Nothobranchius furzeri: one gene and its partners. The protein of the gene in region 4 binds, or shares a complex with, the protein of the main gene of each other region. Links are inferred from orthologs where the notes say so. Each region holds a gene or a part of one and is shown on either strand. Other genes may lie near its edges.

What was found.
Region 1: cmc1 (region 4) and timm21 share a complex: the UniProt entries of both Homo sapiens proteins name them as parts of the MITRAC (mitochondrial translation regulation assembly intermediate of cytochrome c oxidase complex) complex. The link is inferred for Nothobranchius furzeri from reciprocal best matches to the Homo sapiens genes CMC1 and TIMM21.
Region 2: cmc1 (region 4) and surf1 share a complex: the UniProt entries of both Homo sapiens proteins name them as parts of the MITRAC (mitochondrial translation regulation assembly intermediate of cytochrome c oxidase complex) complex. The link is inferred for Nothobranchius furzeri from reciprocal best matches to the Homo sapiens genes CMC1 and SURF1.
Region 3: cmc1 (region 4) and smim20 share a complex: the UniProt entries of both Homo sapiens proteins name them as parts of the MITRAC (mitochondrial translation regulation assembly intermediate of cytochrome c oxidase complex) complex. The link is inferred for Nothobranchius furzeri from reciprocal best matches to the Homo sapiens genes CMC1 and SMIM20.

The regions. Positions count from the first base shown.
Region 1 is NC_091747.1:54,073,242-54,076,454, reverse strand, and holds timm21 (mitochondrial import inner membrane translocase subunit Tim21), read right to left. Parts: upstream 2,003-3,213; 5' UTR 1,814-2,002; coding exon 1,522-1,813; intron 1,400-1,521; coding exon 1,337-1,399; intron 1,231-1,336; coding exon 1,133-1,230; intron 1,049-1,132; coding exon 975-1,048; intron 897-974; coding exon 791-896; intron 666-790; coding exon 573-665; 3' UTR 510-572; downstream 1-509. UniProt on the Homo sapiens protein: Participates in the translocation of transit peptide-containing proteins across the mitochondrial inner membrane.
Region 2 is NC_091746.1:62,108,717-62,112,873, reverse strand, and holds the start of surf1 (surfeit locus protein 1), read left to right. Parts: upstream 1-1,316; 5' UTR 1,317-1,415; coding exon 1,416-1,478; intron 1,479-1,582; coding exon 1,583-1,640; intron 1,641-1,959; coding exon 1,960-2,087; intron 2,088-2,172; coding exon 2,173-2,255; intron 2,256-4,157. Other genes in the region: surf6 (surfeit locus protein 6), read right to left, coding at 336-530, 1,094-1,184. UniProt on the Homo sapiens protein: Component of the MITRAC (mitochondrial translation regulation assembly intermediate of cytochrome c oxidase complex) complex, that regulates cytochrome c oxidase assembly.
Region 3 is NC_091742.1:58,395,948-58,400,190, reverse strand, and holds the start of smim20 (small integral membrane protein 20), read left to right. Parts: upstream 1-1,422; 5' UTR 1,423-1,515; coding exon 1,516-1,624; intron 1,625-1,877; coding exon 1,878-1,934; intron 1,935-4,243. Other genes in the region: man2b2 (epididymis-specific alpha-mannosidase), read right to left, coding at 518-664, 819-959.
Region 4 is NC_091745.1:45,960,908-45,964,950, forward strand, and holds the start of cmc1 (COX assembly mitochondrial protein homolog), read right to left. Parts: upstream 2,841-4,043; 5' UTR 2,710-2,840; coding exon 2,691-2,709; intron 2,388-2,690; coding exon 2,295-2,387; intron 1-2,294. UniProt on the Homo sapiens protein: Component of the MITRAC (mitochondrial translation regulation assembly intermediate of cytochrome c oxidase complex) complex, that regulates cytochrome c oxidase assembly.

The DNA of each region.
Region 1 (3,213 bases), on a different chromosome or scaffold from region 4:
CTCCTCCACATCGAGAGGAGCCAGTTGAGGTGGCTCGGGTATCTGGTCAGGATGCCTCCTGGACGCCTCCCTGGTGAGGTTTTCCGGGCACGTACAACCGGGAGGAGACCTAAAGGTAGACCCAGGACACGGTGGAGTGACTATGTCTCTCACCTGGCCAGGGAACGCCTTGGGATTCCCCCGGAGGAGCTGGCCAAAGTGGTTGGGGAGAGGGAAGTCTGGGCCTCTCGCCTTAGGCTACTGCCCCCGCGACCCGACTCCGGATAAGCGGATGAAAATGGATGGATGGATCTATTTTTTGAAAGTAGATAAATGTTGCAAAAAGAAATGCCCAAAATTTTTAATTTAGTCAAGCAGAAGAGTCCGCGTTTATTTAAAAAGAAAGCCCCCCTGAAGGACACTTTAGGACAGATCAGCAATAAAGAGGGGTCAAAAGGTCTAAAGCAGGGACACAAACTGGACTTTGTTGAGTCATTTAACACATTAGTTTCAAATTAAAAAGGACAAGATTGTAATCCAGTGACCAGTGCCTTGTTTATTTAAATAATGCAGATTGTGAACAGCAGGGGTTCTCATCTGTTGTCCTCTATGATGATGCTCCGTTTGGGGTAGGTATCTAGATCCACGAATATATAACGAAATTCATATTTCCCCGTTTCTGGGTTCTGAAGTAAGAAACCAAAGACAACAAATCAAAAGACAATGGATGCAGTTTTCCTCTCAGCTCTTAGTATTTGATACCAGCTATTATAAAATGGATATTGTGTGAGCAGATCAGAAACCTACACACCTCCTTCGACTCTGAATGAACAGTTCCTTTCAGGCCTGGCTCGGAGCCTTCAATGTAAAACTTCAGTCTCAAGTGCTTCAGTCCATCCTTCAGATACTCCAGATGACTGAGGCGAAAACAAAAACAGATTAAAAAACAGCATAATCCCAAATAAACACAGTTTTATGCCTAGTTTAGTTTGTACCTGAGATGCTGCCTCCTTCCTCTGCGGGTGGTCTCACCGTAGCACTTGATTGGCTCGCCAAATGCCCCGATTACCTGCACTTTCAAATCAAAAACAGCACCGTGCATGTAACTTTATACTGAAAAGAGCCAAAAGAGTAAATCATTTGTCATTCTCACCTCTGGGTGTGACCTGACTTTATCAAAAGCTTTTGCGTAGACTTTATTTGGGCTTTTGGACGAAAACAGCTCCTGGAAAACCACATACAGCAGTCCACCTAAACACAAACGCACACATTTTTATTTATTTTGACAGCAGCGGGTAAGATCAAATTAAATATGCTGCTAATCACACGTTTGTTTCTGCAGTCTGGCTACTCTCACCTGTCACTCCCAGTCCGATGATCACAACTATCAGGTAGGTGAAGTCTTTACCAGCTTCTTTTACTGGAAGACACCCACAATGAGACTTTAGTAAACAACAGCATGCAGTAATTGGCATAAACTAACCCTAACCTACAGCATTTTGTACCGTGCTGCATAGCAACATAGCGTTAGCATTAGCTTACTCTTCTGGGAAGCTGAAGCTTTGGGGCTTGCGCGCTGATACCTGGACACCGCCGCTTTGTTCTCGTCCTCTGGCCTGCTCCTGTTTCTGGCTGAACAGTGGAGCGGTCTCACAGCCACACGGAGACAACTCAGCGCAGACAGAGGACTATCTGTCCCGAGAAGGACCAGTCCTGGTGTTGTGGACAAAGTCCTGCGCGCGTGAGCTAACAGTCGCAACTGACATGTTTGCGCTGCCGCTGTGTGTTGCAGACTTCGGTGTAACAAGGCTTTTAAAGGGTGAAGATACGCCATTATTGTCAATAAACCCACATTGAGGTGAACGGCAGTACAAACTACAGCGGCTGGCCTACTATAGTGTATAATTATGTCACCGTGACGTTTAATTATAGAACATTAATCGGCTAATGTCACACAAACAAAGCTGGTTTAGGTCGCACCAATATGGCGTAGCTTCTTCTTTGTTGTCTTTATTAGGAGTAAACAAATCAGCTTGGACTACCTCCACCTACCGGACAAAAACGAAACAACAAGCTTGCAATACCAGGAACATTTCCCCCCATTTGTTATGGTGGCTCTTGTGTAAATCCTTGTGAGTCGTTTTCTGTGAAGAAAAAAGTAAAACATTTGCTCTTCTGTTTCAGTAAGTAGAAGTTAGATGGAGCAGAGATCTGAAATGTTCAGCTAGCTGCTAATATTTCCTGCTTTAGCTCATTGATTCCATCTGGTTAAACACAGATACATTAGATATATTTATTGAGTTTTAGTAGTTAAGTAGTTTGAATAAGAGAAGATGTTCTGGCTTTCTCATTATCTGGACTAAACTATGCTATGTTTTATTTTGAAAGAACATACAGGAAGTAATAATGAGTATGGTCTTGTTTAGCTTTATTAACATTGACTGTAGTAACAGTTTTTGTCTTCCAGAGGACGGAAATATCCTTAATCTTAAAAGCCATAGACTGAAGGACTGAGTTCGATCTACATGATGCAGGAAACGTTCACATCCTGGTACTTCTGAGAAGAATTTACAGGAAGTGTACTAATTATTGTAACTTTACAAGTGCAGTTCCCCATTCTCCTCTTCCCTTTCCTCATTTAATCAATACATTTGCAGTAGTCTCTAGTAGGAATAAACATCTCGTGTGTCATACTCTGGGGAAAGAAAACACCGGCGCACCATTTTCAGGAACTAGAAGTGAGCCACATCAGAGCTGAGCTTCAAACGGCGGCTTTTCCGGAACTGCGCTGCTCTGGGTGGCTGCATGTTGGAGTAGCTCTGTTGACTATATGTAAGTTTTGTCTTTTCTTGGGCATTTTTTCTTATAGTTTCTCAAGAAAAACTGTATTTTTTGGACACTTTACTTTTCTGTTTCTGGTGCTGTGAAGCTTGGAGGATTTTTACTGCTATTTCTTTTAGCTTTTTTCACTTTTTGAGCATTTGTTATGATGCATAACCATGGCAACAAGCTGGTTTACAATCGATAGCAGCTGATTAACATTGGAAAGGCTGAAATAATACCTCAACTGAAGCCACAAATCCCAAATGAGCTAAAACGCAAGAAGCGTGGGTGCAGAGCGGGAGCAAAACGGAGATGGAGAAAGAGGAAATTCAAACCATCTCTTCCATCGATCATAATGGGCAATGTGAGATCACTGGCCAACAAGATGGAGGAACTCCAAGCCCTTTCAAG
Region 2 (4,157 bases), on a different chromosome or scaffold from region 4:
TTAGAGACGTTCTTGTCCGTGAAAAGTTTATCAGCTCTGCATCAGCCGAGGTATTCCTTAAATTTGAAGTGTCTAAGCGGCATTCTAACACTATTAGTTAGTTCTGGTCGCGCTCAGTTTCCTATTGCACGGAGCTCTGTCGGACAGGGGGCGTGCTCAACAAAAAAATTAATTAATTAATTAAAAAGACGTATTGCTTACATTATATCACAGTACATAAGATGATCACTTTTACGATTTTCTGACAAATCATACGTAATTTCTGAAAGAGGAAAACTCCGGAAAGCTGCTTTAACTAAGCCGACACCCTCATGAATCTGCAGTGTGTTGCTCACCTTTAGATGGTTGTGTTGTAGTGACAGTGGTGCTCTGAGTTTGTGATTTTGCTGCTGCAAGGCTTTTCTGAGCTCCTGGAGAAGACTTTTGTTGGTGTTTGGGAGGTTTCTTGGCTAATGCATCTGTAGAATTATTCTTTAATTTCTTCTTCTTCTTCTTTGAAGGATCGGTGTCACTCTTACTCTTGAAATGAACTAATGAAAAGAAACATGAGATAACAATTCCATGCTCAGATATGGTATAACAAGCTGATTCCAAAGACACGATGGAGCAAAGCCAGGTCAGATGAGATTCTGACCGTCACGTTTTATAAAAATAAAAATGATACCAAAAATAATCAAGTCTATCTGCTTTCTTTCATCTGGAGGGCAAGCAAAAAAAATTCTAACAGAAACAAAAATGTCTTGTGCAAAGAATAAGTTCAGATAAAATAGGCTAACTAATCTTTGCATCCATATATATATATATATATAATCTACTAAAAGAAAGAAAAACATTAGCATAAAAACATTTTCCAAAATATGGCTCTATAAATAATTCCAGTATGTTGTGTGTGGGAAAAAGCAAACATCTACAGCACGCAGAAAATAATGTAGCGCCCCCTTCCGGTGAGCTGTGTTTTAACAACTGAGGTTTGAAGACATTTCATGTTTTTTCCCACCTATCATCAGCCATACAAATATGTAGCGCGCTTTGATATTTAACACAGAAACGTGTACAGCTAAGTGTAAATATGCCAAGAGCAGTTCAATATTACCAAACGGTCTCTTCTTCGGCTCCTTCTCTCGCTGAGAAAATAGTTTACTTGCATATTTCTGAATGTACGAGTCTTTCGCTGCGAGGTCCATGTTCTCAGACTAATTACTTTCCGCAACTAAATCTGTTAAATTTACAATTAAATAATTTTGAGCTAAAAATCAGCTCATGGCTGCAAACACGTGCATAAGAAAACAAACGAGAAGAGGACTGTCTCCGTTGCACCGGAAGGTGTTACATTGAATTAGTCCCCCCGCAAGCCAAAACGACGGTTTTGTAAATAATTTATTTAGTCTCCCTTTTACGGTTTTTGTTTATTCAGGATGACTTCGCTCAAATTCCTGCTCACGTTTTCCACCAGGCTTTTCCCGACAACTAGGAAACAGGTTGGTTATAAGTTATAACTAATAAATTCAGTGTATTCGTCTTAACAGTCACCTAAAAAAGATTATATGCAAAAAAAATTTATTTTCGTTTCACGTGATTTCAGAATGTTATAAACATCAAGAGGACTTTCTTCCTGGACAGAATCATTAAACGTTCAGACGGTAGGTACAGTTGTTATATTAATACCGATGATCACCTGCTTTTAACTACCGGTAAATGTATTTTTATATTCATATTTAAGAAGTTAAACATGCATAAATACTGACCCACTCACCTGGATATTTTTAAGAAAATGAAAGTTGAAGAATTTGTTCCAAAAGGATATCTAAAATTTAATGTAGATTTTAAATATATAAGTACAGCACCTATAATATATAAGATACATAATATGTTAATGCTGTTACAATTTATTTTTCAGTATTACATGAAAGTGTGAAAAGTGCATCTATGAAGAATCAACCTGCAGTTTCTTATTTCCAGGCAGGTGCTTGGACTTCCAGCGGCTGTGCAGCTCTGCAGCAGCCAAGGCCGTGAAAAGCGAAGACTCTTTCCTCAAATGGTTCCTGCTGCTCATCCCCGTCACCACCTTTGGCCTCGGGACATGGCAGGTATGGCTTGTCTTCCATTATTCTGTTCTGAAATGATTTGTTTGATTTCCATTTTATTGACTGAAACAATATTGTTACTATGAAGGTTAAAAGACGGGAGTGGAAGTTAGGATTAATCAATGAGCTCCATAGACTGACCACAGCAGAGCCAATTCCTCTTCCTCCAGAGTGAGTAAACTCTTGTCTCTCTGACACGAATCATCATGAGCAGCTATTACCGCAGGTCGAATATAACATGGGGACAGCTGTGGAAAAAAAAAAAACCAATTTAAACAAATTCAGAACAAAGTCTCAAACCCCCTAGTCTGCAGACAGATGGCTGCTCATTCTGACCCAGGTTCTGCTAGAGGTTTCTTCCTGCTAAAGGGAGTTTTCCTCTCCACTGTCGCTACATGCTTGTTTAGTATGAGGATTGCTGTAAAGTCTCTGACTCAGCAAGTCAGTGACTTTATGCAATCTGCTGGGTTGAACTGAACTCAGTACACTGATATAAGTGGTTCAGTTGGGATGTTTCGTCTCGTCTTCTTCCACCTATCCGGGTCCGGGTCATGGGGGCAGCATCCCGACTAGGGAGTTCCAGACCATCCTCTCCTGGGCCACCTCCACCAGCTCCTCCGGTAGGACCCCAAGGCATTCCTGGGCCAATTTGCAGATGTACTTTCTCCTACATGTTTTGGGTCGACCAGTGGGCCTCCTACCGGCAGGACATGCCTGAAAAACCTCCCCGGGGAGGTGTCCAGAAGGCATCCTGTCTAGATGCCCAAACCTCCTCAACTGACTCCTCTCAATATGGAGGAGCAGCGGCTCTAGTCCGAGTCTCTCCCGAATGTCCGAACTCCTCACCCTACCCGTAAGGCTGAGCCCAGCCACCCCGAGGAGAAAACTAATTTTGGCCACTTGTATCCACGATCTTGTTCTTTTGGTCATTACCCAGACATCATATGACCATAGGCGAGGACAGGGCAGTAGATCAAATGGAAAATTAAATGTGATTATAACTGATAAAACAACAATAATAGCAACAATAAAGTACTACTAACAGACCGGTTAAGCGTCTGCATCACTGCAGAAGCTGCCCCAATCCGCCTGTCGGTCTCCCGCTTCCTCCTTCCCTCACTTGTGAACAAGACCCCGAGATACTTGAACTCCTCCACTTGAGGCAGGACCTCTCTCCCGACCCAGAGTTGGCAAACCGCTCTTTTCCGCTCGAGAACCATGGTCTCAGAATTGGAGGTGCTGATCCTCATCCCAGCCGCTTCACACTTGGCTGCGAACTTCCCCACCAAGAGCTGTAGGTCAGAACCTGATGAAACTAGGAGGACCACATCATCCGCATAAAGCAGAGAGGAGATTCTCCTGCCACCAAACTCCACACACTCCACACCACGGCTGCACCTAGAAATCCTGTCCATAAACGTTATGAACAGGACCGGTGACAAAGGGCAGCCCTGGTGGAGTCCAACCCTCACTGGGAACAGGTTTGACTTACTGCCTCACTCCTCTGGTACAGGGACTGAATGGCCCTTAGCAAAAGACCATCCACCCCATACTCCTGGAGTGCCCTCCACAGGGTGTCTCTGGGGACACGGTCATAAGCCTTCTTCAAGTCCACAAAACACATGTGGATTGGTTGGGCAAACTCCCATGACCCCTTAATCACCCTAGCAAGGGTAAAGAGGTGGTCCACAGTTCCATGGACAGGACAAAAACCACATTGCTCCTCCTCCTCTGAGGTTCAACTATCAACCGGACCCTCCTCTCCAGCACCCTGGAGTAGACCTTTCCCGGGAGGCTGAAGAGTGTAAACCCCCTATAGTTGGAACACACCCCCAGGTTCCCCTTGCCTCTGTCAGTCCGCCCCAGGGCAGCTGTGGCTACATCGTAGCCCATCACCATCAGTGTGTGAATGTGTGTGTGAATGGATGAATGATGCACTGTAGCGTAAAGCGCGTTGGAGTCCTTAGAAGCGCTATACAAGTGCGGGTCATTTATCATTGAAAAATTGGGACCACCACCCCGGTCTGCCACTCCACAGGAACTGCCCCTGATGACCACGCAGTGTTGCAGAGA
Region 3 (4,243 bases), on a different chromosome or scaffold from region 4:
CTCCGGCTTCTTTTTTAACAGTTTTAGAGGCAAACGACAAGAGCTGCTGGTCATCAGAGCAGCATTCCTGTTGCATATGGATGATGCAACCAGTCACAACATGGAATGTTGAATTTCCAACTTCCTTACATTCTTGGAATGAAAAAAGGGCGCGACCACCACATAGTTCTGTCCTAACCTTTACTGGAACTGAAAGTGTTGAAAAGTAACCCAAACATAAAGATAAGTGCTCCGCAGAGGATAAAAGTGCATGAATTATTTAAAAACAAACAATGTAGTACCACTAAACTGCACCTCCCCACGGCTCACGCCCCCACTAGTTAAAGCAAACAGGGGCAAATGTATGTACCCATAAATAAAGATTGTCTTATTTTGGTGTTTTTGATTCAAGAAAACTAAAATGGGATCATAATGTGTGTCTTTCCTGGTAACTAAGCCCCCAAGAATGAAAATTTCAGCTGATATTTTCATTGATGAATGCAGACACAATCATCTGACTAAAGAACTGAGTTCTTACTTGTTTCTTTAGGGAGTCTGAGGCGACAGTGTCCCACCACAGGCGAAAGAACTCCTGTTCCACAGCGATGAACCTTCGATCTTTGTACTTTGACAGCTCCTGGGTCACACTGGTGTACACGTTAGCTGCATAGGCATGCATGCTCTCCTGCAAAACACACACACACACACACACACACACACACACACACACACACACACACACACACACACACACACACATACACACACGCACGCACGCACGCACGTTTAGAGGGGAAAACACACATATTCATTTGGAATTCAAGATCACCCTCCACTACCTGAATGGTGTAAACCCAGCCAACATCCATGTGACTGTGAGGAATGACAAACGTTTGAATGGGCTGATCCTCAGCTGTCGATTCATGTGAACAAAATAAACAAAAACACACAAAAACTGTAAAAAACATATTTTTTTCCATCCTGAAAATGAGAAAATTCGTTCGACAAAATCCACCAGCTTCACTTCCTTATCATGTTGTTGTTTAGAATGACTGGCATTTCATACGGAAGCCCTGGTAGCCCAAAAGAAGTGACGCGAGTGACGTTCAACACTGGTGTTACATTCAAATGCGCCCCCTATTGTGTTTAAATCATGCCCATGCTATTTCACACTTATATAGTTCAAAATAATTTTAAAAAACTGCTATAAGGAAAAATCTTCATAAGTTATTTTTAAACAAATTTTAGCAAGTAGCAAACTGAAATAAAACAAAAAAATCTCAGTGTTCAGTTGGATAATAAGCTCACACATATCAAATAAATGAACTTATCTCATATTGTCAAAGACAATTTTGTTCTTTGAAGCTAAAATGTGTAAAAGTTAGCAAGACGGAAAATATTTTGATGTCTAGTTTGGGAACATTTTCAGCGGACACATTTCTATGTAGAACATATCATGACGTAATGGCCGGAAGCTGTCGCTGTAAACGCAAGTAAACACGCTTGGAGGTGAGAGACCGCCTCTGATGTAAGAAAATGTCCAAAAACGCTAAAATAGTGTTAATATTCGGAGGCTTCGTTACGGCGGTGGCCGCTGCGTTTTACCCCATATTTTTTTATCCTCTAACACACAAAGACGATTACAGTAAGTGCTTATTTTCCAACACGAGCACTCAACTGCTTCATATTGTGTTTTAACTTGAAATCCAGCAATGCTAAATGTTGTTTGACACGATTGAAACGCTAGCTAACTTTAGCTTGTTTACCACTGACTTTCTATGACAGAGTTTTTAATCCCGTAGTGAAGAAATCAAACCAGCAAAAATAAAATAAAAATCTTAACCAACAAATATGTTTTAATATTAATCTTGTGTTCTGTGTTTCTGTGATTTTGCCAGGAGAAGTCCAAAAGGTAAACCGGGCAGGAATTAACCAGGCAGATGTGCAGCCAGTTGGTAAGAACTAATAATAAAACAAAAATCAGCAATAGTGATCGGCTGTTATCTGGGTCACTCCATTCCCTCAGACTCTACCCAGCTGTTGCCGCCATTACTTTCTGTTATTTATCTGTATATTCAGTGTTTTGATACAAAAAGTAGATTTATCTCCCATTTAATTAAATTCCAACCCTTAAATCACTTTCAGCTTTTTTCAACTAACAAAATCAATTTATTAAAATGTACCCTTAAAGCTCATTATCTTAAATTTTAATTATTATTTTTATTTATCTCACTTATCCGTGGGTCCAAGGCATTTTCTAGGACTGTAAGAAGTTCAACTTCTTTTTTGTAGAGCTCGTTCTGCCCTTCAGTTAGTCTTTCATAAAACTGCATTCATAAACTCTGTTTTTCTGTCAATAAGGGGTTCTGTGTGTACAATGAGAAAAAAATGAATGTATTGTTTTCCACAAAAACTGCAATATAAGAGGAAGAAGAAGAAAATATAATTTCTATAGTGCCTCTGAAGATAAAAATCATGAGGTGCTTCACATAAACAAAAAATGTAAAAATATCAAAAAGAATTTAGAAAATTGTTAAAATATATTTAAAATTAGCAAAAAAATAATAGACAATTGTGATTAGAAAATGTAAAGAGAGAGAGTGAATAGGAAAGAGGGAAATCAGTGGATCCTGAGGAAAGTGGAATAGGTGGGGAGAGCAGAATAAAGAGAGAGTGGTGAAGAAGGTCATGCAAAAGCCACTTTGAACAGCTGATTCTTCAGCTGCTTTTTGAAGGAGACCACTGAGTCCACTGATCTCAGGCTCAGGGGGAGAGAGTTCCAGAGTCTGGGGGGCCACAGCAGCAGATGATCTGTCACCTTTGGTCTTTAGCCTGGTGCTGCACAACCAGTAGGCTTTGATCACTGGCCTCAGGGACCTGCTGGGGGTGTAGGGACTAAGAAGATCACCAATGTAAGATGGTGCTTGTTCATGTAAGGCCCTGTAGACCTGAACCAGGATCTTGAAATGAACCCTGAAGTTGACTGGCAGCCAGTGAAGCTGGAGGAGAAGCGGGGTGATGTGGGTGTGTTTGGAGGACTTGGTCAGAAGCCGAGCACAGGCATTCTGAACCACCTGTAGACGGTTCAGGGAGGTTCTGCTCAGACACGTGAAAAGAGAGTTACAGTAGTCTAAGCGTGAGGAGATGAAGGTGGGGGTAACGATCTCAAGTTCAGAGTGGGACAGAATGGGACTCAGCTTAGCAACGTGCCTGAGATGGAAGAAGGAAGAGCGAACAAGAGAACTGACATGAGAATCCAGGGTGAGAGCTGGGTCAAAGGTCACGCCAAGATTCCTGACGGAAGGTTTGGTGTGGGAAGCAAGCTGACCAAGAGAGTCTCTGACTTTGGGAACCAGCTTGTCTGGGGCACAGATGAGGATATCAGTCTTATCTTCATTCAGCTGTAGAAAGCTCCCAGCCATCCAGGTTTTGATAGAGTCTAAGTAGGTGTGTAACATCTGCAGCTTAGACATCTCATGGGGCTTAAAGGAGATGTACAGCTGGATGTCATCTGCATAAAGATGGTAGGAGATTCCTTTGAAGGAGCTCAGGATGTGCTGAAGAGGAAGCAGATAGAAGAGGAAGAGCAGAGGCCCCAGCACAGAACCTTGTGGGACACCATGGGTAAGAGAGGTGGTGGAGGACCTAAACTTGGAGACGGCCACAGAGAAGGAGCGCTCAGAGAGATAAGAGCCACTCCAGAGCAGTTCCTTGATATAATAAAGTAGGGCTGCAACAACGAATCGATGAATTCGATGAAAATCGATTACTAAAAGCGTTGGCAACGAATTGCGTCATCGATTCGTTGTGTCGCACAACTCTTCCAAAAGCGCCCCCCCTTCCCGCCCACCGTTGCGCGCAGACAGATCAGCGCGAGAGAGAGCCGGCAGTTGTTTGGAAGAGGAACATGACAGAAGCAGCGAGAGTCAAAAAAGTAAAAGCTTTTTAAGTTTGGGAGCATTTTCAGTTAAATCAGGCGAAGACATGCGTTACCTGCAACGTTTAGGTCAGACTGGGATGCACGGGATGATGCAGCGTCTTAAACGCAAGCATGTCGGGATCATCAGCGAGGAAGGAGAGAACTCTGTGTCCGGGTAAATTAAAAACTTTTCAAAAGTGATTCATCCAAGTCCCGGATTATTACACAGGCTAGACATGCCCTAAATTCGTAAAAAAAGAGTCTAAAGTCGTGAGCGCGACGCTTATTAGATGAGCGGGGGGACTCGCACTGCTGCGAACCGGTTCCGCCCAAGGCCGGATTAAC
Region 4 (4,043 bases):
CTCGGTAAGTTTGCCTCTTGTTAGCTGCTAACATAAGAGTAGCAACACCAGTAGCGGTGGCGAATCCCTTTAGATACCTTTAGAACACGTTTGTATGTCACGTATTTTTGCTCTAATTACAAACACTAATGATTCATTTTATCCCGCTACGTTACAGTGTTAATAAAAGTGCTCCTCTTCAACGGACGAGTTTGTTACGTGCACACCTCAGCAAGCCAACGTCCTGACTGATGCCGTTGTGAGCATGATGGTCACGAGACTCCTGTCCATGGTTGCTGATCAATGTTTCAGATGATCAAGCAGCTCAACCTAGGATACCACGACTACTACCTGACTGATCCCATTTCACCACCATGATGGAAAAGAAATATGAAACAACCTTTAAGGTGTGTGTGTGTGTGTGTGTGTGTGTGTGTGTGTGTGTGTGTGTGTGTGTGTGTGTGTGTGTGTGTGTGTGTGTGTGTGTGTGTGTGTGTGTGTGTGTGTGTGCACGACGCGTGATGCATCTTTGCCTCTGTTTCGCTCTGGACACAAATAAAATAAACATTAGAATAATGCATTTTATGATAAAAGGAAAAAGGTTGCTGACTGAACAATCAAGAAACTAATATTTTTTAAAGCATAAAACATTTTCTTTGTGTTAAATGTTAACCTACGTTATTTGATATAACAGAATTATTAATTTGGTAAATAAACTAACTTTAATATCTTATCTTTACGGTAAAGCAGACTATCAGAGCTGTCGACGGTCCCTGACTGCTGACATGTGGACCAGCCATGCTACAGAGGCGTACCTTGGTGTTTCCTGTCTTTTCCTGAGTTAAGATTGGAAGATGAAGCGCTTCAACCTTGCCACCATGCCTCTTGTGAACACAAGTCTTTTTGTGTACAATTAATTTTTGGTTTAGGTGCCTACCTCCATCTGACTGTGGCATTTGTTTAAACACGTTACAAAGTTAATTAAGCTGATCACACTTCACACTAGAAGCTAATGATGGGATATATTAGAGCTTCCTGGTGCAATGAACTGAACTTTTATGAATGACACGATTAGTCTACTAATTGTCAACAAAACTTGCGACTAGTCGACTACTAAAATAGTCCTTTGTGGCAGCCCTAATTGCAACATTACTAATTTTCATAGGAAAGCAGGCCGGTGATGGCACAGACTTCCTGGTAAGCTACAATAGACACTTCAAGTGGTTTTAAAGTCTATAACACCTTTAAAGCAAAGAAATAAAGAGCATGCATGTACACAGGATTAAAGGGATATTCAATAAATGAGCATAAACCCATTTTACAAGAAAGATAATGACCTGATTAATAAAAAACTAATACACAGATCAGCTAATACAAAATCAACCCTGTGCATCACATTTAGACTTTAAATGTTGTCATTTTAGTCACCAGATTTACCCAATAAGACATTCATTATTCAGGGAAATCCTCTGAATTTATTCTATTTAAAGACTGCTGGATTTTAGCCCCAAAAAGTATTTTATTTTTCTGGAACAATTGTTGGGTCAATAATTGCTTCCATCTAAACAAAGAAAACTATAAATACACTTAAAAACTTCAACATGATCTACTCTGAGCGATTCAAAAACAGTAGGAACAATAGTAAATCTAAAAAAGTATGTGTGGATTGTGTAGATTTTAGACTTTTAGAACATCAGAACTATAAATTCATTTGATAACATACAATGTGTTGTGTATGATGCAGTATTGTGTATGTAGTTACAGAAAACTGTTATTTTATTGATGTTAGTTCTAACAGTTAGTCTCTTGGCATATCTGTCTCACGCATTAGCAAGAACTTGGGATGTTCGATGGCACATTTATTAGGGCTGTGTCCAAACAACATGTCAGCAAACCCAGTTTAAGACTTCACAAAAATAATGGAGAAGCACAAATTATATTTTTGTCCATGAAAACCTACAAAGAACCATGTGCACCATATGTAGTCTGCAAGTGAGTTTTAAAACACACTTGTGAACAAAATTACTGTGGTCCAACATTTTGGAAAAATAACTGATGCAGATTAAGCCAATGGACACATGAATATGAACAGGACACTAACCTAATGGCAGCTAGCATGTGCTGCAGGAGTTCTCAAGTACTGCCTTGCCTTGTAAAATAGTTTGTTCATTTTGCAGCATTCCCTTTGCCCTGAGAGTAAAAAGGTGAGAAAATACATTTTTTGGGCCTACAAATTCCAACTTTCTACAGACTGTTGCGGTTCGACATGATGATGTTATCAGTTCATTTTTCATAGCCTACTCCTAAACACAGACCTTCAACCTTGTCCGCACAGCGCTCCTTAGCTTTCTCCCTCATCATCTTGGGAATCAGCACGTCCTTCTCCACATGCCTTAGATGGATTTCCTCTAAGGAGAAAAGACCCAAAGTTACCGTTTCTCTTTATTATCAGCTGCACTGATGTATCCATACGGTTATTATCAGTGACTATTAAATATGTAGATTCATAAGCAGCAGCGAACGACTAAACAACTTAATGCACATAAGTGGACAGAGTTGTCATGTACTACAGCATGGATGGACTACTTCACCACTTAGAGCCAGTTTCACCTATTTCTGCTTACAATTACGCACGAGCTAACGTAACTACCTAGCAACCATTACGATTATAAAACACCCGCAGCATCAAAGGTGAGTCTAACGCCCATTACCTGTGTTCGTAGCCTCCATTATTCGGTGGAGTTTCTCAAAACATTACAAAACCGAACCAATGTGACCTAGTGCACATACGCTCAAATCACTTCCGCTGACGTAAGAGGCAGCTTTAAAAACTACAAGTCCCATCAAGACACACCGACCCAACCAAAGTGATTCTGCTAGCATTGACCTCATAATAGCCATGGCTGTAGTTTACATGTCGTTTTTATTTATTCAGTTAAATTTTATTTATTCAGTTTATTTATTCAGTTATTCAGTTTATTATTCAGTTAATTATTGTTTCATATATATATATATATATATATATTTTTTTTTTTTTTTTTTTCAGTTGCGGGCGGTGCGTTCCACCCCTGGGCCTTCAGTGATTTCCTATTCAGTCCAATCTAATTTAATACACCTAAAATACCATCAATAGGACATCACAGCTGGAGAAACCTCACACACACACACACACACACACACACACACACACACACACACACACACACACACACACACACACACACACACACACACACACACACACACACACACACCAGTGGCTGGTCAAGACACATAATTTCCAGAGTCTTTAAAATCAAACTCGCATTCCCAGTTGAGAGTAGGAAGCTGACCACGGATACCGTCAAATCTCAGAAATGAAAGACGGGTTTAAGAGATGAGACAATAAAATAAATAAGTAAAGCAAACACATTATTTGCATTTGTTTTGGAGAAAATGGCACCGCGAAACAATTGAACATGTTGGCGCAGCTGCACACACCACGTCATTCACAATATAAATTGCATAGAAACAGAACACAGAATAATTTCATTTTGCCATTTTATTTCGTTACCATTTATTGATTATTAACAAAATAAAATGACAAAACAGTAAAAAATACTAATAAAATGTTTCTACTCACCAACATAAATGTCCAGCATGGTTCTCCTCCTCTCCTGCTCATTAGAAAATAAAATCCATCCTTTCTTTCCTCAGGGAAACCTCAATGGCTCTGTACAGTTTATCTGTGCGCTTCAGGTCCATGAGTGGATCCTTTTCTATGGACATGGAGGCTAATGCTGAAAGACATGTCTGCCCGGTCGTGTTTCTGGCGTACGCGTTTTAACGCGCTTTAATGCTACCAAATCCATCTGATGCGAGCAACGGGCATTCCCAGCAGAATAACCTGCAGCGGTTCTCTGAAGCTGTTTGCCATGGGTACCGTTCATAGTTGCTTGCCTGAAAATGACGAACAAATCCTTTCCCCTGCTGGGACAAGCCAGCTAGCGTTGGAGTCGGACGACCTGTTCTCACAAGATCCACTTTTTCTTGAAAGGTCCGTCTTGAAAATGGTGTGGCAAATT